7 separate regions of the Mus musculus genome follow, and all the other regions are reported to be linked to region 1. Evidence: microRNA targets listed by miRTarBase, many of them from high-throughput screens and not tested one by one. Region 1 holds a microRNA gene; each other region holds the end of a gene's coding sequence.

The links. The annotated mature microRNA mmu-miR-129-2-3p reads AAGCCCUUACCCCAAAAAGCAU and lies in region 1 at 1,020-1,041, opposite strand. An mRNA with a match to its seed (bases 2 to 7 or 8) in the 3' UTR can be bound and repressed. Matches are read on the target gene's strand: a 7mer-m8 pairs with bases 2 to 8, a 7mer-A1 pairs with bases 2 to 7 and ends in A, and an 8mer does both.
Region 2: miRTarBase lists Opa3 as a target of mmu-miR-129-2-3p. Seed matches in the 3' UTR shown: 7mer-A1 at 1,027-1,033.
Region 3: the mRNA of Eef2kmt is a reported target of mmu-miR-129-2-3p. Seed matches in the 3' UTR shown: 7mer-A1 at 692-698.
Region 4: the mRNA of Agtrap is a reported target of mmu-miR-129-2-3p. Seed matches in the 3' UTR shown: 8mer at 1,978-1,985 and 7mer-A1 at 1,117-1,123.
Region 5: the mRNA of Zfyve27 is a reported target of mmu-miR-129-2-3p. Seed matches in the 3' UTR shown: 7mer-A1 at 2,618-2,624 and 7mer-A1 at 780-786.
Region 6: miRTarBase lists Slc17a8 as a target of mmu-miR-129-2-3p. Seed matches in the 3' UTR shown: 7mer-A1 at 1,409-1,415.
Region 7: the mRNA of Pus7 is a reported target of mmu-miR-129-2-3p. Seed matches in the 3' UTR shown: 7mer-A1 at 1,932-1,938 and 7mer-m8 at 1,685-1,691.

The regions. Positions count from the first base shown.
Region 1 is chr2:94,240,357-94,243,496 of GRCm38, forward strand. It overlaps Mir129-2 (microRNA 129-2), which reads right to left and starts at 1,097; the gene lies at 1,008-1,097. It overlaps Mir670hg (a long non-coding RNA gene), which reads right to left. Exons shown (of 8, transcript XR_003953878.1): 3 at 2,957-3,140. It overlaps Mir129b (microRNA 129b), which reads left to right and starts at 1,022; the gene lies at 1,022-1,086.
Region 2 is chr7:19,244,688-19,247,815 of GRCm38, reverse strand. It overlaps Opa3 (optic atrophy 3), which reads right to left. Exons shown (of 2, transcript NM_207525.3): 2 at 999-3,062. The coding sequence ends at 2,665. Among named protein-coding and RNA genes, the nearest start is that of Gm38499, 3.2 kb to the left of the region's middle.
Region 3 is chr16:5,242,687-5,245,826 of GRCm38, reverse strand. Eef2kmt (eukaryotic elongation factor 2 lysine methyltransferase) reads left to right here. Exons shown (of 8, transcript NM_027446.2): 8 at 442-1,672. The coding sequence ends at 560. Alg1 (asparagine-linked glycosylation 1 (beta-1,4-mannosyltransferase)) reads right to left here. Exons shown (of 13, transcript NM_145362.2): 12 at 2,064-2,139; 13 at 920-1,386. The coding sequence ends at 1,201. Among named protein-coding and RNA genes, the nearest start is that of Alg1, 11 kb to the right of the region's middle.
Region 4 is chr4:148,077,877-148,081,016 of GRCm38, forward strand. It overlaps Agtrap (angiotensin II, type I receptor-associated protein), which reads right to left. Exons shown (of 5, transcript NM_009642.5): 5 at 1-2,728. The coding sequence ends at 2,607. Among named protein-coding and RNA genes, the nearest start is that of Gm13201, 2.9 kb to the left of the region's middle.
Region 5 is chr19:42,190,155-42,193,294 of GRCm38, reverse strand. It overlaps Zfyve27 (zinc finger, FYVE domain containing 27), which reads right to left. Exons shown (of 13, transcript NM_177319.3): 13 at 1-2,912. The coding sequence ends at 2,848. Among named protein-coding and RNA genes, the nearest start is that of Sfrp5, 11 kb to the left of the region's middle.
Region 6 is chr10:89,573,825-89,576,964 of GRCm38, forward strand. It overlaps Slc17a8 (solute carrier family 17 (sodium-dependent inorganic phosphate cotransporter), member 8), which reads right to left. Exons shown (of 12, transcript NM_182959.3): 12 at 196-2,833. The coding sequence ends at 2,492. Among named protein-coding and RNA genes, the nearest start is that of Slc17a8, 46 kb to the right of the region's middle.
Region 7 is chr5:23,739,195-23,742,334 of GRCm38, forward strand. It overlaps Pus7 (pseudouridylate synthase 7), which reads right to left. Exons shown (of 16, transcript NM_178403.5): 16 at 971-2,782. The coding sequence ends at 2,646. Among named protein-coding and RNA genes, the nearest start is that of AI506816, 28 kb to the left of the region's middle.

The DNA of each region.
Region 1 (3,140 bases):
GTGTGTCCTTCTGGCCCAGTCCCTAAGGGCAAGGGTGTCTAGCAGTGTTCTTAGCTAGCGAAGGGCACGGGGCACAAAACGTGTTGAAGGCCTGATTTGTGCCACTTGTAACCGAAGTGGTCACGACTGCAAGGAGTGGAGGGGGAGGAGGGGGACCCACGGGCTCTCCCCTTTGCAGCTTGCCTCCCTTCCCAGGTCTAGGAGCCTCGAGTGGCCAGCATGGGGCTGCTGCCTCTGCCACTGCTAAACAACTGCAGCTCGCAGAAGCTCCTTCCCCGCGGGGTTTTCCCTAGTTTCCGCCTGTTTCATCCTCTCCTGCGCTACTTAGTTTTGAAAAAGAGGAGATGGGTGGGTACTGGAGCCTGCAACACGCCTGAAATTAGGTTGGAAGCAGGTTCAGGAAGAAGGCTCCGGGGAGCGGGCGGTGCCTGGGTGTTTTTCCCTCTTTTTCGGAGCTACCGGATTCACGGAGATTCATCTCACCTCCTCTAGATTCCGCTCATCCTAACCGAGGATGGTTAGGGCCTACCGCCCCTCCCTCAAGGGCTTCCCCTCCCCCATATTAGATTCCAATCCTTAGGGTCAAAAAAAAAATGACCGTAAAATTTCCTAAACTGATTCATATTCTAGGTACTGACTTGGCCCTATGGCCATGCCCCCCCCCCTTATTGTGAGTGGGGATATTTGGGGTGTGGGGTGTGGGGGAACGACACAACTTCTGTAAACTTTTATTACATTTTAGCTTCTTCTCACTTCTTCGAAAACACACGCACGCCACCCGCTCCAATTCCCCCTGTGGTACAAAGTCGACTAAAAAGTTGGGGGCGGGGGACATGTCTCGGGAAAGCGAGTGATCAAAGCCTCGCGGAGCGCGGAAAGGACGGGGAGGAAAGAGCTGATTCTTCCGTGGAAAACGGGGAGAAAAACTGGGGAAGTCTCGGATGGAGCCGCTTCGGGAAGGTGCTGGCTTCGGCGGTCGCTGGTAGCTGCAGTCACGTCGCCGAGCGCGCCCTCCGCGAATGCTTTTTGGGGTAAGGGCTTCCGGCTATTGAGTTATGTACAGCAAGCCCAGACCGCAAAAAGATTCGCGAAAGGCAGTCTACCCGCTTCTTCGGTCCGCCGCCACCGCCGCCGCCGTCGCCGCCGCCTTTAGCCCAGCATGTCTCCGAACCCCGAAGCCGAGGAGACTGGATCTCCCCGGCGCGCTCCACCGCGGCTCATCCTCCCCACCCTGCGCGCCGCTCTCCCCTCCTCGCGTCCCCAAACCCATCCCTCTCTCTATCTCCAGATCCCCCGACTCAGCCTTGCACAACCTCGAAGAGGTAGTGGAGAGCGATAAGGGTAGCTCGAAGGGGGACCCCGGATCCCAGAGCCCTGCCTCCACCCCTCTCGCCCTAGCACTCCAAGCCTCCGATCCTATCTAGTCTATCACCCAATTCCCCCATCAGGGTTCTGACAGCCCTGACTGCAAGGTCGTGGATCTCTGAGCAGGTACGATCCAGATTTCCCCCGAATCCCCTCCTATCCTCCCTAGTCCCCCAGCAGAGGTTCCAGCCGTGACTACAGGCGCTGCGTAAAGAGAAAAACTCCCCCAGAGCACTAAATAAATACAGACAAGGCCGCCAGCTCATTGGTGTGGACTAAAATCGTCACCCACCAATCAGAAGAGAGCTCACATTTCTTTTTTTTTTTTTTTTCCAGAAGGGGGAGGGAGAAAAATATTTCCATTTCTAATTATTCAACAAAACCTAGACTAGAACACATTAAAATATTGTTGTTCCAAAAGCTGTCCATGACTCCCTCCCATTCTAGCCCAGGTGAGGGGGTGGCAGTGTATATTGGGAAAGAGGGATTCAAGAGAGCGACCTCTTCCATCGGGACCTAAGCCAGAAGAACCAGACGGAAAATGACTGGCAAAGATGAACATAAAACAAGCTCAAATCCCACTCTAGTTGGCCTATTTCTAGAAAATTAGACCTTTTCGAGTCCCCCTACCCCACTCTGCCCCCCCAAAGTTCTGAATGTTCACTAAGAAGGGTGAAGTTTCTCCCTCCCCCAGAGCCCCCAACCTGTCCAGATCATGGTGTCTAATGGCCCATTTGCCTCAGGTGCCCTTCCTTGTTGCCCCCCCCTTCTGCAAAATATTGAGGGAACAAGAAAGGGTGAGCTGGGCATTGACTGTCACAGTGACAGGAGATTCCAGCATCTGCAGGAGGGAGGGGAATAGAGAGCTAGAGAGGAAGGAGGGGGCAAAGTCTCTCCTCTCCCCCCTCCTCCCTGCCCTTTAAGTCCCTCCCCCATTCCATCTAGCCTAACTTAAGGGGGATGCCCTCTTCTTTATGTGCAGGCCCACCCAAGTCCCAGTGCCCTCTTGCCTAGCCCCAGGGATGCCAAAGGGTGTGATTAAACAAACGCCTATCTCCCTTCCAGTAGGGGGTGAAAAAAAAAAAAAACTTAAGTCAGGGTGGTTACTACAAGCATCACAAGAACTTGGGGGCAAAAGTTGGGTTTTGTTTTGGCTTTTTCACTTTTTTTTTTTTTTTTTTTTTTTTTTTTTGCCATCCCAGAATGGACCTGCAGGCAGGTACGCGCGCGCGCGTACACACACACACACACACACACACACACACACCCTTGGCTTATCATACCCACAGAATGCATTTCTGGACCTGGAGCCTTAGTCTCCCAAGTTCCTGTCGGCCCACCCACTCCGCCCATTCATCACCCTCCTACAGCTCTGTGACCCACCCACCCTCCTACTGCATCCCCTCCGCTTGGCTCGGTTACGGAAAGACGCAAGCACACACCCTCCCCGCGTCTCAACGCCGCGCCAGAGGGGGCTACACAGTCTGCGCTTGCCTCTAGCGCAGGGCAATTGGGGAAAAAAGTTCTGCTCGGCCGACCGTTGAGCCTACCGACCACCAGGCGGCCAGCGCTGCAAATTCTTTCTCCTTACCTGAGTCCGGGGGTCTTGGGAGTGCATTGGTTCGGTGTGCTCTGCAGCGGTCTGGAAGCAGCCCTCTCTGGCCAGCCCGCTCCCCTCCTGCCCCTCCCCAACCCCCATGGGTGTTTGCCCAGCGGCAAAGCGGGCTCTTCCAGGTAAGTATATAAGTTACTGTACTGTGTGGGAGGGTCACGAT
Region 2 (3,128 bases), not on the chromosome of region 1:
TGCATGAGTAGGGAGTCAGAGCCATGAAAGCTGCTCTGGCCTCCTGCCCCAGAGGCTTCTGGAACCACACACCACACCACGGTGGCTTCCTGCACTGTCATCATGGGAGAGGCTGCCATGTCCACATACACCAGGACCATGTGAAGGCTCCACTGGGTCAGGGTGGGCCCCGAGGCCTACTTTCATGCTTGGGTGACCCAAAGGTGACATTTCCTCTTGGTGCCTGTTTCCTCCCAAGCAAGCAGAGAAACCATTCCTATGGGGCTCTTCACCACCAGTGAGGCTGGTCTGTTGGAGTAAGGACTGACCTGATGGAGCTCAGCGCCCTCACCGGTCTTGGCTTTGCCATAACTGCTATAGACTGACCCAGGGCAAGGTGGCCAGGGCTGGCCCTGGAACTCTTAGTGACTCCACAGGGGTAACCATGGCAAACAGGCAGCTTTCCTGGCTCCTCACTCTGTCCTCCCCTCATCACCTAGCCATGTGTGTCCTCTGTCCCTAGTTCAGCTTTCACCTAACTCAGCTGCTCCTAAATTTAAAGACACCAACTTCAGCTTCTTCTAGAAGAAACTGAGGTACAGTTTCAGTATTGGTTTCAGTCTGGGGAATCCTGGGGATGGGTCATTTTCATCCCCTTGGGGGAGCCCTACAAGTGCCACCTCTAGGGACAAGGGCCAGGGAGAATGAACCTGTTACCTATAGTCAGACATCTTGGGTGTGGCCTGGGGCTTTTCTGATAAGAGGGCAGAACCCAGTGCCTCTGGCCACTGGGAAGAGGTTGGGCCTTATCTCATCTTGCCCTGCAGCCAGAATCTTCTGGGTCCTCTGGTCCCTCCTGAGCTATGGGGTCTTGGCCAAGTCACCTAGCTTCCCTTTTCCTGAGCCTTAGTTTCCCAATGTGGGAAGAGTTCACAGGATGAGTCTCGGCTCCTTTTCCCCCAGAGCCAAAACCTCTGCCTTTCCTCCAAGGTTGTCTTTTTTTCTTTTACTTTTGTTTTGTTTTTTTGGAGACAGGGTTTCTCTGTGTAGCCCTGGCTATCCTGGAACTCACTCTGTAGACCAGGCTGGTCTCGATCAGAATCCACCTGCCTCTGCTTCCCAAGTGCTGGGATTAATGGCGTGTATCACCACTGTCTGGCTTGGTTGTCTTTTTTACTTTTTGCCTTTTTTTTTTTTTTTAAAGACAGGGTCTCTCCCTGTGGTTCAGCAGGCTGTCCAGGAACTCACGATGGGACCCAGGCTCATTCCTGCCTCAGCCTCAGAGTGCTGGAATTTCAGATATGAGCTACCAAGCCCGGATTTCTCTATTGTTAATGATCACTGGCCCAGTTTGAAGGTCCGTATTAATTATGCCCCTCATATATCCTTAGGAGGCCTCCTTATTCTGCAGCTCCATCAGGAACTGGACAACCATGACAGTGACTGCTGCACCCACAATCCTTCTGGAGCTATAGTGGTTAGCCCAACCCCAGAAGCCATGAGTAGGCTGCCGGAAGAGCCAAACAGCATAGTAGGGGCCTTGCATTTTAAAATGGCAGAAGGCAGCAAGCTGAATAGAGGGCCTTCAAAAGAAAACTCCATGTCTGAATCCTGGGGCCTGTGTGTCTCCATTTAGAAAAAGGGTCTTCAGAGATGTAATAAAGGCTCTTTCAATATGGTCATCCTAAATTTAGGGTGGGTCTTGTATTCAGGGCAGGTGTCCTTGCAAGAGACAGGTGGGGGAAGAGAAAGCCACATGAAGACAGGACACAGAGTCTAGGAGATCTGGGGCCCCTGAAGCCAGAAGAAAGTGGGGCCCAAACACCCTGACCTCTGCCGCTGGCTTCCAGAACGGTGGGAGAACAGGTTACTCTGTTTCCTCCATCACATTCCCAGCAGTAAGTCATGTCTGGGGGGATCGAGCAAGGAAGGTGGGGCAACAGAAAGGGTAGAGGGACCCAGACCTAAGGGGTATGAAGGGTCAGACAGGTGTGTGTGTGACATCTAACCCACCCAACTGAAAAATACCACAGAAGGACAGGAGGAAATATGTGCCACCCGAAACAAGGTTCAGGGACATTTCAGGATAGGGCAGCGGGGCTGCGACTGAGACAGGTCAGAATCGAGCCAGCTAGGATCCGTCTGTGCCTAGGGAGGAAATGGGGTAATGCCACAGGCTGAGGAGTAAGGGGATCTATACAGGCGTGATCCCCTGGGGACCTCAGAGGGAGAATGAGGAGAGAGAACGGGAACATCAATTGCACTCTGCTGCCTCCATGGGAGCTACATTGACCTGAGGCAAGGCTCAAGGTGGCCTGTGTTCACCGAAGGAAGGAGGCGCTCCAATGATGGGCAGGTGACCTTGTCTATGTCATGATCAGACTTGAGCCCTGGTTCCATCTTTTGCCTTTGCCAGAGCAGTGGAGAGTCAGGTGTCTGAGACCTTGAAAGTCCAATGAGGGGCTGAGGGCTCTGAGTCAGAGACTGGATGGGCTCTGAAGGCTTCTGCTGAGTGCTCCCTGGGGAAATGCCCAGAACCTGTCAGTAAGGGGTGACCACATGTCACAGCTACATCAAGGTCCTCGTGGTTTCTGCTAGGCCAGAGCATCCCGGGCCAGGAGGTGTGAGGAGAAGGCTCTATTGGAGGCCACATGGTCACAAACAAGTCCAGGCCTTAGCAGCTGGCTATTTCTTGGAAGATGCTGCCTGGCACTTGGAAGTACAGTGAGCATTGCAGACCTGACCACGCACCTCCTGCAGCTCCTCCCGCAGCTCCTCCAGGGCACTCAAGGAGGGCATCGCTTGTGCCTGAGCCTGCAGCGCCTCTAAGGCCAGTGCCAGGCGGCCCACCTCATCCTGCAGAGCGTTCCAGGCTGCCCGCTGTTCCTCCTCCTTATTGCGCTGCTGAGTCTGGTGGCGCCAGTACTCCAGGACCAGGCAGCCTCCGCCCACAATGAAGATGGTGGCCTCGCCCAGCAGCTCAGCACCCAGCTCTGCTGCTGCCTCCTCATTCAGTGGCTTGATGGTAGTGCCCCGGAAACCCATTATGCGCATCTTCGTCCGCATCTCCACCCAGTGGTACACTGCAGGGGAGAAAGAGGTCAGGTGTGTTCCGAAGCTCCACCCCCAATACTTTCTTGTTCCAGTTG
Region 3 (3,140 bases), not on the chromosome of region 1:
TGCAAACCCCATAAAGCCAGGCAGCTGAGTTAGATCATAGCTGATCTCTGCTTGTGCCAACTGACAGGGTAGGCAGGTGCAGAGAGGCAAGGAACCCAACAGGAGAGGTGGCCACAGAGAGATCAGTAAGCAAAAGTGCTTACTTACCATACGAACAAGAAGACCCAAGTTTGAACCACCATTTAAAACGCTGGGTTGTGGCTGTAAGTACCTGTAATTCTAGTGTCGTCAGGGGCAGAGACAGGATTGCTGGGGCTTAGGGAATAAAGGGGAACATGGGAGCAGAACCTCTGCCTCTACCTTTAGACCAAGCGTGCCCACAGATACACACTCCCATAGAGCATCTACCCGGGCCTGGAAACCTGTGGCCAAGCAAATCAGCTTGAACACACAGCACACCTGTGTCAACTGCCCTCCTGAGATCTCTGTACTCTTATCTAGACCGTGCTGGAATCTACTGGGAAGAGGTGCCCCCTCACACTGGCAAACTGTTCCCTTACGAAGAGCATTCAGCCATCGTAATCCTGAAGCTGGTGCTGACCAGTCGCCATGGTGTTTGAAGGTGATTTGAAAAATGAGATGACTAGCCGGGTATGGTGGCGCACGCCTTTAGTCCCAGCACTCGCGCAGAGGCAGGTGGATTTCTGAGTTCAAGGCCAGCCTGGTCTACAAAGTGAGTTCCAGGACAGCCAGGGCTACACAGAGAAAACCTGTCTCAAAAAACCAAAAAAAAAAAGGAAAGAAAAGGAAAGAAGAGAAAAGAAAAATGACTGTCATGGGAAAGCGGAAAGCGGAAAGGCTTCTGTTGAGCAGGAATGTTAAATAACAGCACAAGTGTACAGTAAGCACAGGCTGAGTGCTGGTGCCTGTCCTCAGCAGCTCATCTCGAGTGGACACAGGCTCAGAGCAAACACTTCCATTGTACAAATAAATATATACATTTATTAAGTATGACTGTCCTGTCAGACAGTTCAGCCTTGCTCAGCCAAACCCAGTGAACACAGGCTATCCCAGAGCTCACAGCAGAACCAGAACGCAAGGGATGTGACAAGTCCAGAAACAAAAACCCAGGGACTGAGAAGTTGGCAGGGACACTGGAAGTAACAGAAGTGCTCAGAACAGAAGAGAGCTGCCAGATCAGTAGCCAGATCCTAGCTGTCGCCCACTGCTGTCCTCAGGCTTATGACCACTAGGGGGCACTCAAAAGCCCCGGCAGGAAGGGTGGCCACAGGGTGGATGGGGCCTGGGGGTCATCTGTGAGTGAGCGAGCAGAGGGAGCACAGTGTGCTGCCAGCTCTCATCCCAGCGTTGCTGCCCCGACTCCTGCAGTTTCTTCCGGAACTGGCTTAGCTTTCCAGCAGGGTCTGGGAACTTTGAGAAAAGCATCTAGGGAAACAGGAAAACTGGAACTCAGCTCCCTGCACCAGGCCCCGGCCTCCTTGCTCGTGTCCAGTGGTGCCCCTCCGCTCACTCGACACTTGATGGATTCATCTACTCACCCACAGCCCTGCCCTAGAGAATGGCTAGCCTCCACCTGCTATTCTCTCAGTTTCCCCTCCCATCCTCAACACACCCCTGCAGATGCAGTTAAGATGGAAGCCTTTAGTGTGTCTATCAGGGACGGGTTGGGTCCTGCCCACCTGCCTTTGTAAATAAAGTTTTATTGGAACTCAGATTATGTGCGCATGTGCACAGCTAGTGTTCCCATCCATGCCAGATGCTACTGCAGTTCTTACCCAGACTTAAGGACAGAAATGAGAGGACGTTAGTTTTATAAGGATAGACCCCTCAGCGGGTGCTCCCTTGGCCCCCACCCTCCTTAAAGGGCAGCACAGCTTCCATCTTTGGACACGTGGCAGGCAGGGGTATGTATGTTTTCCCCTGGCAAGGTGAATGACTGGCTGACAGCCCAGGCTGAGAAGCTACCTTTGAGCCCTCTGCTCCCTTCCTCTACACCCCAGAGTTCTACCACAGCTGTCCCTGTGTGGGAAGCAGGGATCGTGCAGCTGGCAATGCCAGGCTTCAAACCACCCAGCCCCACACGGACGGAGTAGACCCAGTACCTGCAGCTGAGCTGCCAGCTCCTCAGCATCCTTGAAGACCAGACCATTCTCTCCATGTCTTACTAGCTCGTGCAGACTGCAGAGAGAGCAAGGGAGTTGAGAGCCAGCTGGAGAAGAAAGGGAACCGAGCGGAGCCATTTCTACCCCTCAGGTGAAATAGGCCTCTGTTCTGAGCGCAAGTATTTGGACAGAAAAGCCTACAAGGGCACATGTCAAACCACCAGGCTGATTTGGAGAAGGGAAGGTGGCCTGAGATGGTTTCTGTGTTTTTTCTCCACTCCAACCTGAGAGCTAGGGTCCCAGCATGTCTGAACGTGGCTCCACACATTAAGGTAGCTTTTCAGAGTCACTGGGAGATTTGATCCTGACAGTCCCTGAACTTGGCTCACTCAAGGCTTTCCCATCCAGAGGCTGCTTCCTAGCTGCCAAGCTGCAGCCTCTGTGCTCACATCCGCCCTGGCCGGGGAAGTGGAGTCCCAGAACTGCACTGGTGTGATAATCCAATGCAGTCCTAAGAGCTCGGCTACAGAGCAGGGAGGTAAAGTAAGGCACCTGCAAGCGCATCTGGCCACCTCCCCCTCCCTCTCCCCCTCCCAGGGTAAGCCTGAGTAGCATGCTAGCCATGAGCAAACCCCAGCTGTGCCCGTCCCACCTCCCCCTCCCAGGGTAAGCCTGAGTAGCATGCTAGCCATGAGCAAACCCCAGCCGTGCCCGTCCCACTCTGTGCAGGCCTCCTTCCTGGAGCCCCTGTGCATCCACAGATGCTCAAGTTCCTTATGTCCCATAAGCTGCTGTGTTTGCATATGGTCCGCATGAGCATCCCCTCTAAATGGCATCTAATACCCTGGCAGTGGAGCAGGGATAAGAAGAAAGCCACATGTTGGTAGAGACACACTCAGCATGCTCCTTACTACAGTTTTTTTCCTGAGACAGGAACTTACTGAGTAGCACAAGTTAGTTTCAAGCTCCGGAATCCTGCCTTTGCCTCCAGACTACAGCCTCATATTTCCAACATCCTAAAACCATTTTGCACCTCAGTGGCTGGCATGACATGGAGTGGTCGCACCAAGCTGACTG
Region 4 (3,140 bases), not on the chromosome of region 1:
GCAAGCAATAGACTTGCAAACAGGACAAGAGACTTCAGCTCTGCAGGCAACAGGTAAGAGACCTCCCAAGAACGGCAGGCTCTAGACTAAAACCTGGGGGCCAGCCTGTTTCCAAACCACCACGGGGCCTTGTGGCACAAAGGCAGGTGCCCGTGAGAGCAGCTGGTTGAAGAGCCCCGTCCCACAAGCACAGCCTTCTGGACCCTGCCTGGCCATCCTGTGCCCCACCAGCCTGTGTGCTCCTCTTGGCTTTCCAGTCAGTGGCAACTACAGGGTACAGCCCCAATCCTACTGTTAGTATTCCTGGCTTCTCTCTTCGGTGCATCAGCAGTTCCCGCAGGCCCACCTTCAGAGTGTGTCCAGGAGGTGACAGTTGTCACATTCCCACAGCCAACAAGTACAAAGTATCCTTCTAGGGAGTATCAACCAGTCACATTCAGATTCGGATACCGATGCATGCTCTCTTGAGTTCTTACTCAGTGGAAGGCAGTCCCCATGGTGGCTCCCAACCTGCTCTTCTGCTATCTGACACTAAGCGCTCCAGCCACACCACTTCCTAACCACATGCTGGCCAGTGTTCCAGGCCAGCCTTCCTGGGGGGCTGCCCCTCCACTTAGACCCTCTCTAGCCCACTGCTGCCTCTAGGGCATGTCTCTTCTCTTCACCCACCTATTCTGCTTGCCTCGGGGCCTCTCCTCCATCAGCTGGAAGTTTGTCATCCACTGTGGGACAGCCATTGACCAATGAGAAAGCCCAGCTCCCCTGCTCTAGTCTGCTTTTGGGGCTCTTCCAGAGATATTCCTCCTCCACCTTTCCCTAAGGTCAGCTGGATCTGAGGGATGCAGGCTCTGGGACCTGTCTTAGCTACTTAGGCTGAGCCCCTGCCTCACCTTATTCGTCTCTGCAAGCATGACCTATTCCAAGAGACACGGCACTGATACTCCAGGCCTTCCTTCTGCCTAGAAACTGCCCAGAAACAGGAGAAACACCCTGGGTTTTCCATCTTCCTTGCCGCAGGCCTCATGTTCCCTTCTCCCCCAAGGCCTCTGCAGTCAGGAACTTGACATGCATCCCAGAGCTTTTTTGTTATTTTTTTGTAGACAGGGTTTCTCTGTGTAGCCCTGGCTGACCTGGAATTCACTCTGTAGACCAGGCCTGGCCTCAATCTCTGACATTCACTTGCCTCTGCCTCCCGAGTGCTGGGATTAACCACCCACCAGGCAGGTTTTTAATATTCTGGATTGTTTGTTTTTATCTATCTTTCTTTCTTTCTCTCTCTCTCTCTTCTCTCTGTTTGTGTGTAAAACCTCATACCATGACAAGAGTATGTGTGGAGGTCAGAGGACAACTTTCTCAAGTCGGTCCAAAACTAAACACAGATTGTCACGCTAAGTAGTAGACTGACTCCTTTCACCTGCTGCTGAGCCTCGTCTCTGGGCCCCGGCTCATGTTTTATACTGTGCTGCATACAACCTAAACAAACCTAAGGGTTTTGTGAGAGGTTGCCTCACAACTACCTCCCTCTAGTGGCACACGCTGCTCCTCACTCTGCTCACACTGGGCTCAGGATGCTGATTGTATGGGATGCTGATTGTATGGGATGGTGTTCCACAGTGACCCTGTCCAGAGGCGGGGGTGGGGGGTGGGGTTCACTTTTCACAGATGCTGTCACTCAGCCTCCCTGCCTGTCCACAGGTGTGCAGACAGTCCTTTCAGGACAGTCACCTCAGCCTGTGGTTCCCCATAAGTCTTCAAGTATCTGTCCCCAGAGATCTGGCAGTAAGAATAGGGGCCCTGGAACCTCAGGAGGCAGTCGACTGTGGTAAGAACGCAGGAGATAGAGGGAGTCACCCATGCCCTGCCTCATGGGTCAGTATCAGAGGCAGTGATAGTCACTTAGATTCAGAGGACAGATGTCTGTCCACATGCCACACTGACCGTTTGGCCACAGTCAGGCTCCCCCCACAGGCCCACAGGTAGCCCTTCCTTCCATCAGGCTCTTGACTCAAAGGCAAAAATCATACCAAGACAGCAGGGTGGGTCTGTGCTTGGAGCTCAATCGTGGCTCAGACACAGAGCAGCCACAGAACCCCTGAATTTTTAATGCCAGCACTCTGAGAGGGGCCTCTGAAGAACTACTGCATCCAGGCCTGGGGTTCTCAGACACCAAGTCATGAGGCCGTGACAGGCACAGGAACTTTGCCCCTTTGCAGAGCAGGCTGAGCGGGACCACAAGCTCACAGAGCTTCTAGGAAGGGCTGATCACCATGGGGCAGCCCGAGCGGCAGTGATCACTAACCCATGAGGCCTGGCTGGCCCTGAGCACTCTGGGCAGTTCAGTAGGAGTGTGTTATAGTTATGGGGTAGGAGGGGAAAAAACCAACCACAGCTCTAGCCCAGGGGTTAACAGGTGTCTTGAAGGGAGGGGTAGCCTGGAGAATTAGGACTGGGCTCTTCTCCACTGAGAAGCTAGAGGCTCTTGACCTCCAAGGGCACATGACTCAGGCCACCTCTGTGATAGGGAATGGCGGATGCCCCACTGTAGGTCCAGGTAAAGAAGGTTTGAACAAGAATCCTGCTGGGGACCAGGACGACCAGGGACAGCTTCAGTACCCCCGGGGGACAGCTTGGCCCTTGTTCTCCAGGCTTGCAAAGGGGTCTGCAGCAGCGTCTGATGATGAGTCAATTGTCTGGTAGGCACTGTGCTCCTGAGAGGGTCCGAAGAAATCTAGAGGACAGGGACATGTGCATAGAGAAAATGAGACCCTGGGGTTTTTGCTAAGCACAGATGGATCCACCGTCTGCCATGGCTAGAGTTCAACACCATGATGCTAAGGACAATGTGCAGTAGCAGAAGCCCAGACACCAAGCCTTTGGCAGGCAGCATCCACTCAATCCTAGCATCTGATGGGTGGATCTGCAGATGAGAGACATCTGAGGGTCAGAGAGACAGGCTGATTTGATATCATTTGGCTTGAGGCATAGGACACTGGGTTCCAGCCTAGACATCAGGTCCTATGGTCAGTGGCTCCTGGCTGCTGTGCCAAATCTGCCCCAGAAGCACTGATGAGGGATCTGAAGAGGGGTGGCTAGTCCTCAGCCCACGCACTTTTCTCCTGCTCTCCTCAGTCACCATTTCT
Region 5 (3,140 bases), not on the chromosome of region 1:
ACCCAAGGCTTCTTAGACCATAGCTGCTATGAACACTTGTAACACAAGTGTTTCCCACTCCACTTTGGGTGGGGAACTTAACACCCCCCACCCCAGTACCTCTATTTACCTATTTAGAATATCCAAGAACTAGACAAACTGTGACACTGTAAGACATGAGCTACTGGCTAGGTATAGTCCCTGGCAGGATGACCTGTGAACAGGGCCAGCTGTGAGAAGAGACACAGATCTCTGAAAAAGGAGATTCATTTGGCTTCAGCCCCAGGGGCTACAGAAAACACCCCAAAATCATCACCTATTCCAGGTCTGCCAAGACCTTCTGAAGACATCCACATACTAGACCACAAAAGACTCAACAGACCTGAGCCCAAGTCAGGCTAGATGCCAGAGTTCCAAACCTGCCCTGCCACATGCCAGGACTCTAACACAACCTGGCTCTCTGTCTCTGTTCCTGGGTACCAGCAAATTGGAAGGTGTATTTTGACACAGACATCCAATTCTACAACGTGCAAGCTGTCTATCATTCCACATTGAGATCTCTGTACCACAGGCTCCATGGTGACACCATCACCAACCTTGCTGAACCCTGTTAGCTCTGCTCTCTTAAGAGGAACCTGCATCTGAAGACAGCCTCCCCACCTGTTCTCACAGGGACCTCCAGGAAACAAAAAAGGCAAGCCCCCTGTCTCACATCTGTGACTACAGCCAGCCTTTTTCAGCAGTGACAGTCACCTTTTGCTTTGTTTTGTTTTTCGGTTTTTCAAGACAGGGTTTCTCTGTAGCCCTGGCTGTCCTGGAACTCACTTTGTAGACCAGGCTGACCTTGAACTCAGAAATCCGCCTGCCTCTGCCTCCCAAATCCTGGGATTAAAGGCATGCGCTACCACGCCCGGCTACACAGTCACCTTTCAATAAGATGGCCTGATACCTTAAAAAAAAAAAAAAAAAAAAAAAGTTAAAATCATTCTTTGTTGAAGGAGGTGGTGGAAGAAGAGGAGGGAGAGGAGGAAGAGGAGGCAGCAGTGGCTTTTGCTATAAGGACACAGGACAGATGTGCATTCTTTCTAAAGGCTACAGGATGATAGCACATGGGTCCTTGGTAGGTGGGGCTGAGCTCAGAGCTGGCTCACAGTGCTGCTGCTGTGCACTGCCGGCCTTACCATGTGGAAAACAGAGCCTACCTCATGAGCTTGGTGCCAGCGCTAACATAATGTGTGCAGTGCCCAGCTCCAGCCTAGCCTGATCACAGGGCCAACTTGCACCTCACCCCACCAGAAACCTGCTTACCAGCTCTCAGCCTCCTGCAGCGCTGGCCTTTCTGTCTTTCCCAGAGGATTAGCTAAAACCTTTCCATTCTGAAGCCTGCATTATTTATAGTTAAGTTCTGGTCCCAACCTCAATCCAAGACCGTGGGTCTGGTCACAAGATAAAGCCCACCCCTCCTGTTGATAAGGCACAGCTTTCCACTGGGCCTGGCTGGCTCACGAATTGCCACAGGAGGTGTGCAAAGCCCACCTACAGCCCACCCTGGGCAACATGAAAGACCTGAACAGCACTAGGAGACCTGACAAAACCATAAGCATGGGGCCTTTTATTGACAATTCTCCACAGCGTTCCTGTCTACTGCTCTACAGTATAAATACGCAGAGGTGAGCATCTCTCACCAGGACAAAGGAGTACACCTCACCTGCTTGGTCCCCACTGCCAAACCCTCAGTGCTCTACTGCTGTGTGTGTGTGGCCTATCAGCAAGGAGGACCTCAAATGGTTCAGGTGTGGGCACCACACCCATGACTGGGCAGCAGAAACAGTTCCTGAAGATCAGCTCCAAGGGCAGTCCATGACTGCAGAAGGGTCTCAGGCAGAAGCCCCTTGTCTTCTTCATCCTACCCTGTGCTGCGTGCTCTCAGGAACCATGAAATAAATAAATAAATACTCTGAAAAAGCTCCAGGGGAAGGGGCCTGAGCCAGCTCATGGCTTAAGAAGAGGCACAGCACCCTTGGCAGGTCAGAGGGAACATAAAACTGGCCATGTGACTGACCCTATCCTACAATGCTATCTCTACTCCAGGAACAGCCCTGAAATCCGGGCAGTCCTACACGTCCCTGGACCTCAAAGGCTTGCAGTCTCTCTGCTCCACTCACCTGGCCGCATGTTCCATGAGATAAGGGCTAGAGATATGTGGCAGTGGGAGAAAGGTGGGGTGCCCTAGACTCAGAGCAGGATGGAAGAGTGATGTGAGGGTCCTGTAGCCACCCCAGCAGGGCTGAGGACACCAGAGAACCATGGGAGTTAAGATTCTGTAAGCAGAGCTTCCCCATCCTGCCATCCACTTGACACTGAAGGACTTGAGCAGCACCCTCACCTTCCCTCTCCTTGGGACACCTGGGAACGCCAGTCCTGAGGCTATTCAAAAGGCAAAGGCAGGCCATGGAGCTCTAAGTCCCCTCGCAGGCTCTCTGGGGCTGAGAGACTGACAAGTACCCAACAGGGAAGAACCTCTTTTCCAACCTCAAGTCTCTTGGATCCTAAGGTCTAGCCAGCCTGACCTTGACGACCAGAGCCCAGATGAGAGCAGGCTGTGCTCAATTCTGCCCTCTGGTGGACACTCCCTCGCTAGCCCTGAGTTAACAGGGTATAGGATAGAGCAGAACCAAGAGCCGGGACCCCAGGGGCTCCTCTCCCCCTGGGCCTTAGAGCATCACCAGCCCAGCTGGAGGCAGCAGGGGAAGGGCAGGAAGGACCTAGCTGTCAGGCTACGTTTGCCCAGCACAGGCCTCAGAGGCCCAGAGTTGGGACAGTAGGGTCACTGCTGGCCCCAGGACAGTTGGAGCCTGGCTTCTCTTCTCATTTGCTCAGGGTCTGATTGCAGGAGGCGCACACACACACAGTCTCTCTCTGGGCTTCAGGAGCTGGAAAGAAAGAAAAACTCAGTGAGACAGTTCTTTGTACCCTTTAGGCTCAAGGTGCCAAGTACTGAATTAGCCTCCCCAGTCCTGAGACAGACCACCCACGGCCCGGCCCACACCCTCCCTGACCCAGCTCCCTCCCTCAGACACGCTGGGGCACTGTGGCTCTGACGCCAACAGCAGGCCTCTCCCAGGTGTTCTATGCATTGGAAATTCTTCTGGCATCAACAA
Region 6 (3,140 bases), not on the chromosome of region 1:
CACGACTTTATTTTGATAACCCAGCATCCTCTGGACTCCTCCCACTGGAATCCACACTCCACTCTGAAAGGTAGGTCTGCAAATGGACAGCAAGAGCAAGATCTACAAGATCTGGCCCCTGTCACTTGTCAATGCTGTGCAAGTGTAATTAGTGGCCCAGCGCAACCCACGTGGAAATAACATCACCACAAGGCATCGTGCTTTATTGTGTTTAATGCCACGATCCAGCCCACCATTAAAAAAAATAGATCATACAAGCAGGTTAAAAGCAAAATGTGGTATTTCTGCATGATGTCAACACTAACAACAGATTGTGCCATAATCTACATTGCCTTCATGATCATCATGAGGCTTTTTTCATACTTATAGTTATGTTTTATTAACACACAAAGAAATAAACACATTTTTCCTATTTTTTTACTAAGAAAACAGTATAATTTTCATAATAAACTCTGTGGCCAATGCATGAAATGACACAACACTCTTCACAGATGACATGGTCACACAAGAGTTAAAGATAATGCCAATGTGACAGCTATTTCTTGAGTGCTTCTTTATGCCCATAACTGTTCTAGGGGACTTACGTGGATTCACACAATAAGGAGATCTAACAACATCTGATAACACAAACTATCTACAAATGATATAAAGAATATTATTTAATGGGAAGTTTTAAAAATCTATGATTAGTCTTTTTATAAAGTGCATTATAACTCCTTAAGTATAACAAGGGGGGGTTCAGAAATAAAATGGAAAAAAACTAGAAAATAAATATTATGCAAGTAAATTTATATTTTATCATCATATTACACTTTCCTCCTGAAAACAGAAATAAAAATTTCAAAACTGAAGAGCAAGAAAATAGTTTTATTTTCTAATACTCTTACATGTTAACATTACATTTTAAATGTATTTAGAGAATATCCATGTTATTGCCCTACACAATCACAGATAAATTCCCCAATACCTATTATAGGCCTGGTTCTCTCAAATATGTTGACTGCAATATTTCTCTATAAAACTACTGCTGTGCTTTCGTTTTCTGTGAACATGCCAGATGGAGTCATTGTGAGTCTTTTGGGCATAGTTTTATATCATCTGACCATACTTTCCAAGAAAGCTAATGACACCCATTTGTTTGAACAAGATTCTTTTCAAGATACTATTACGTAAATAGTAAACAGACTATTTACGTAATAGTCTCCCCTGAACCTGCTTCTTAGGTATTAACTGCCTTAGGGGCTCATAGTTAACTTGAGACATTATTTAAAAAAATTCCTGATACTCTAGGGGGGTTAAATTTAATGGCCACTCCTTTATATACTTCTTTTCAACCATTCCTGGAAACTGAGCTATCTTGCTTAGCTTTTTTTTTCCCCCTGGTTTTTTGAGACAGGGTTTCTCTGTATAGCCCTGGCTGTCCTGGAATTCACTTTGTAGACCAGGCTGGCCTTGAACTCAGAAATCGCCTTCCTCTGCCTCCCGAGTGCTGGGATTAAAGGTGTGCGCCACCATGCCCAGCTCTTGCTTAGCTTTAAGTATTTTACTAGACTGTGACTTTTTTAAAAAATAAAAAGGCCATTGATTAACAAATTGTTTGGTCCAACAGTTAATATAATATCTTAAGGGTTTTTGCTTTTAGAATTTCATATGTTTGAATTCCCTCTTCCATATTAGTTTAAATATTTACATATATACAAACACACACACACACACACACACACCCTTGACCAAACATGGAATTACCTACAAAACAGCTGACTTCAGTTTTAGTTTTTGTCATTGAAAATGTCTCTACAATGAGCTGAACCCTTCCTTCTCTCCTTCCTTCCTTCCTTCCTTCCTTCCTTCCTTCCTTCCTTCCTTCCTTCCTTCCTTCCTCCCTCCCTCCCTCCCTCCCTCCCTTCCTTCCTTCCTTCCTTCCTTCCTTCCTATAACTCCCGCTCATCTGCCATTCTCAGCCTTGGTCCTGAGAGGACGACCTTGGGTAGACCAACCTATTGTAAAACAGGTATAACTGTATTAGGGTGTGAGTGTTAAATAATGTTCACAAAGCACCTGGCACAACCAAGGGCCCCCATGAGTGATTCCCTTCATTAGGTTTAGGAAACTCCTCTACATGAGTATCCTAAGAGATGTGATGGCAACCACCATGTACTCTTCTCCAGAACAAAGAGGGATTTCTTCCAGTGTTTATTTGAGCAACATGCTACTCCTTATTCTTCTCACCATTAATTCCTGAATAACTAGTTCTTTTGAGAGAAGGCTCAACGGCCAATGCCCAATCCACACCCCAACCCCAAATATGATCAACTATTTTATCAACTGAGACCAAGGTCCATATTCCCATCTTTGTAAGAAGGCGTGTTTCTTTTCTCTGTTGTTAATTTAATCTCCCCCTTTCCCACGATTTGGCCCCCTGGCAAGACGCAGTATGGGAAAGGCGATGGGTGCGATACTTCCAGTTGTAAGCTGAGGTGAAGCCAGACATTTAGGATGTTTCTGAGAAGTCTCCTTCGGCCTGGTAGGATAATGGCTCCTCCCCGTCGAAGGCAGATTCTCTCTGTTGTCTCCACTCCGTCTTCTGGACCTCACAATTCTGGGTGGTGGCTCCATAAGACATCTTCTTTCTGGGACTTACGAAAGTCTCGTGGTTGAGTTCTGTCTCCTCAGCTAACTCATCTTGGTCAATGATTCCACATTTGTCCTCAGAGAGATTCTCTGGGTCAGCCCAGTCCTGTTTTTCCCCAGAAGCGAAGACCCCGTAGAAGATGACTCCGCTGTAGTGTACCAGCGCTGCTATGAGGAACACATTCTGCCACTCCTCCCGGGTCTAACAAAGGAAATGTAGTGGCAGTTAGCATGTTAAGGTAAAACAGAGGTTACCAGTGAGCCCCAAGCATTTGCCTCTCAGAGACCACATTACTCTTCCACATAGACCATAGACTTGTATTAGAATCAACATCCAGAGCCTATACTTCATTTGAGTGCTTGAAAATGAAAATGACAATGAGCATCATTTTTATCTTAAACTATTAAAATAAATATGTAAAAAGTACAGGTCGCATGGAATTGAGGGGATGGCTCAGAGGTTAAGTCCTTGCAGAGAGGATCCATGTTCAATTCCCAGTTTCCATATG
Region 7 (3,140 bases), not on the chromosome of region 1:
GACGCTCCTGCTGCTGTGACATGGTCATGCTAGAGATTCAGCTCACATTTACTTGTCTACCGAGGTCCAACTTGGTGAACCAGCGGGTGACTTACAGAATCAGAAATGACTCAGACAGCTGCATCACTAAGGCTCACCTTAGCACAGATGACCCCTTACAAAGCTGGGAACACTGCACAGCCTGCAGGCAGCCCAGAGGCTGGCGGGGTCCTTTCCAGGAACCTCTGCTCTATACCTCTTCCAGGCAGCTCAGCTGGTTTCTGCTTCTTTCAGGAGGCTGGTCTGGTCTCAGTCTTTGCAGCTCAGCTTGTCTGAGACTCCTTGGCTCCTATACTTTATTCTGGCAGGGAGGGGCCTAGTGGATCTGGTCAGTTTCAGGACTTCCTGAAGCTACTTTGAGTTATTTACCTTGCTTTGAGAAGGCTAGGCTAACTCCATGACAGGCTTCAAATAGGCAGTTCAGGAGACTGGGCCTCAATCTGTTTTTAAGAACTAGGCATATCCAGGCCTCAGAAGCTGCACTACCACCTGGCCTGAGGCAAGGACGATGGGGCAGCAACAGTTTCCAGACTTCCAGTGGCAAGCCCCTAGGCCCCAACAATGGTTCTGAACGATTCCTAGAGATGGAGCAAGATTAAGGTCACCTACTCTGGAATTCCCGTAATGTGCTTTAAATTGGTCCTGTGAGCTCAGTTCAGGATCTCTCTCTCTCTTTGTAGATGGTAGACCCTAGTATACAAGTCCTCTGCAGGATAAAACTCTTTTTTGTTTGCAGACTATTTGAATCCAGGGTAACCTCAGTAATCATGGACACTTACACTTGGGGTCCGTAGAAGTGTGAGCTGGCTGGAAGGATCAGGTCTGACTCATTCCTTTCGCTTCAGCAGTGTGTGGCCAGTGGCCAGTGTGAGGAGAGGAGAGGAAAGGAAAGGAGGAGAGGGAGGAGAAATGCACTATTGGTTCTCAATTATACTTTCCCCCTTATTTATTTATTTATTTATTTATTTATTTATTTATTTATTTATTTATTATATGTAAGTACACTGTAGCTGTCTTCAGACACTCCAAAAGAGAGAGCATCAGATTTCGTTACGGATGGTTATGAGCCAACATGTGATTGCTGGGATTTGAACTCAGGACCTTCGGAAGAGCAGTTGGCGCTCTTAACCACTGAGCCATCTCATCAGCCCCCTCAATTATACTTTAATGGCTGTTGTCTCTCTCCAGGCATCTTCTTCACTCCAGAAAGCACACTGGGAGGCCAGGGAGCGACACCGTGGGAGGAATTACCTTGAGTCCAGGCCATGAGTCAGTCACCCCAGTGGATACTGTATGAGTCTCACAGCCCATCTTGATAGAGACGCCACTATGCCACATCTGCTGACGACTGTCAACTGTCCACTCATCGAGCGCCTTGTTGCCCGTTAGCCAGGGACAAGATTTTTACATGCACTCAGTTTTAGAATATTTATTTGATTTATTTACATAATTAGTAAAAAATGTGTTCTTAAAAATATTTATTACATTTGCTTTAAGAAATAACAGAAAATAAAACTGGCTAGAGTCATGTCTCACACTGTCTGAAAGGCATATCCATCTTTTTAGAGGAGGGTTTTCTGCACTGCCATGATGGAAACCCCTAAGCAGCTGCTGGCTGAGGGTCAGCGCTGCAGATGGAAGTAGGAGCCCTTCTTCTTTTTTTTTTTTTGGTTTTTTGAGACAGGGTTTCTCTGTCCTGAAACTCACTCTGTAGACCAGGATGGCCTTGAACTCAGAAATCCGCCTGCCTCTGCCTCCCGGGGGCTGGAATTAAAGGCGTGGCCACCACGCCCGGCTGCAGGAGCCATTCTAAGTTTCCCAGATTTCCTTCATGGTCACTATTTACCTTTTGTTTGTTTGTTTTTTTGCGTTCGAGACAGGGTTTCTCTGTGTAGCCCTGGCTGTCCTGGAACTCACACTATTTACTTCTGAGTCCAGTGAAAAGGTTCTGAGAGTAAGAGGCACCCAGAGTAAAATCAGACTGTACCCAAGAAAAGCTACAGGCTCCTATCAAGGAAAAGAGTGCCCTGAAAGATGCTGATAGACTAACCAGAAAAGCCACTGCAAGCTAAGATGTGTATAAATGCTCACCTGAAGCTAACACAGTCACTCAACAAAAGCCACGCCGTGTTTATAAACCCGTGGATGTTTTGTTATTATTGAAACCAACACGGGAACTGCGTGTTAAGTGTGCAGTCTCTAGTTTCCAGTCTGCTGCATTTGCTCTGACACGGACCATGTGTAATCTCATCACAAACATCTAAGATTCTGGTTTGTACTTCAGGTGTGCAGCAAAACCTAAAACCGCAACTTTAAACCAAGTCCCCCTTCCCTGTGTTAAAGGCAGGAAGCTGATGCTGTACTAGAATCTAAGCACCTACAGGATATGCTGACCCAATTCGATCTCTGAGCTGAAATTAGGATCCTCAGGACTTGTATATGTGTACAAATATTGCAAAGTATTTAAGCTGATTAAAAACTTTACAAAATACAAATCATCCTTTACTACAAAAGTTTTAAACTCCAAACATGAGTCAGCACTTAAAAAAAGACCAGAATAGGAGGTCAGAAGCAGGTCTGCATCCCCTCTCTGAGCGATGCACTGTTCATCGCAGCCAGCTCGTATTTAGCTGGGTCTGGTTCTTGATGCTGGTGTCCATTTTGAGCACTTCTCGAATGGCCATGGTGGCGTAAGTAGAAGGAGGAAGAGAAAAGTCCATCTTCAGAGCCCTGTATTTGCCTTCTGCCGGGCAAGAAAGAAGAGTGACCAAAAGACTGACCAAAGATCACGGGGCTTCCCCAAAAGCTACGCCCCTTTCCTTACGATTCCACTCCCCAAGGGTGCTCGCAGGATGAGACCACAACATGAGAGCACAGGAGTGTATGGACCAGCGGGGTATGGTAGCTGTACTCAGGAACCTGATGACCAGGGCAGGAAGGGCTGGCAAAGGCGCCCGTCAAGTAGAAGCAGCTGCACTAAGTCTGGACTTAAATGTCCCCAGGAGCAAAAGGGTAAAGAGAACTGACCCCTCTGAATCATCCTCTGATCTCCCGTGTGTGCAGTGCGCACGCGCCGACCCATAGAAAACACTCCCATAGCA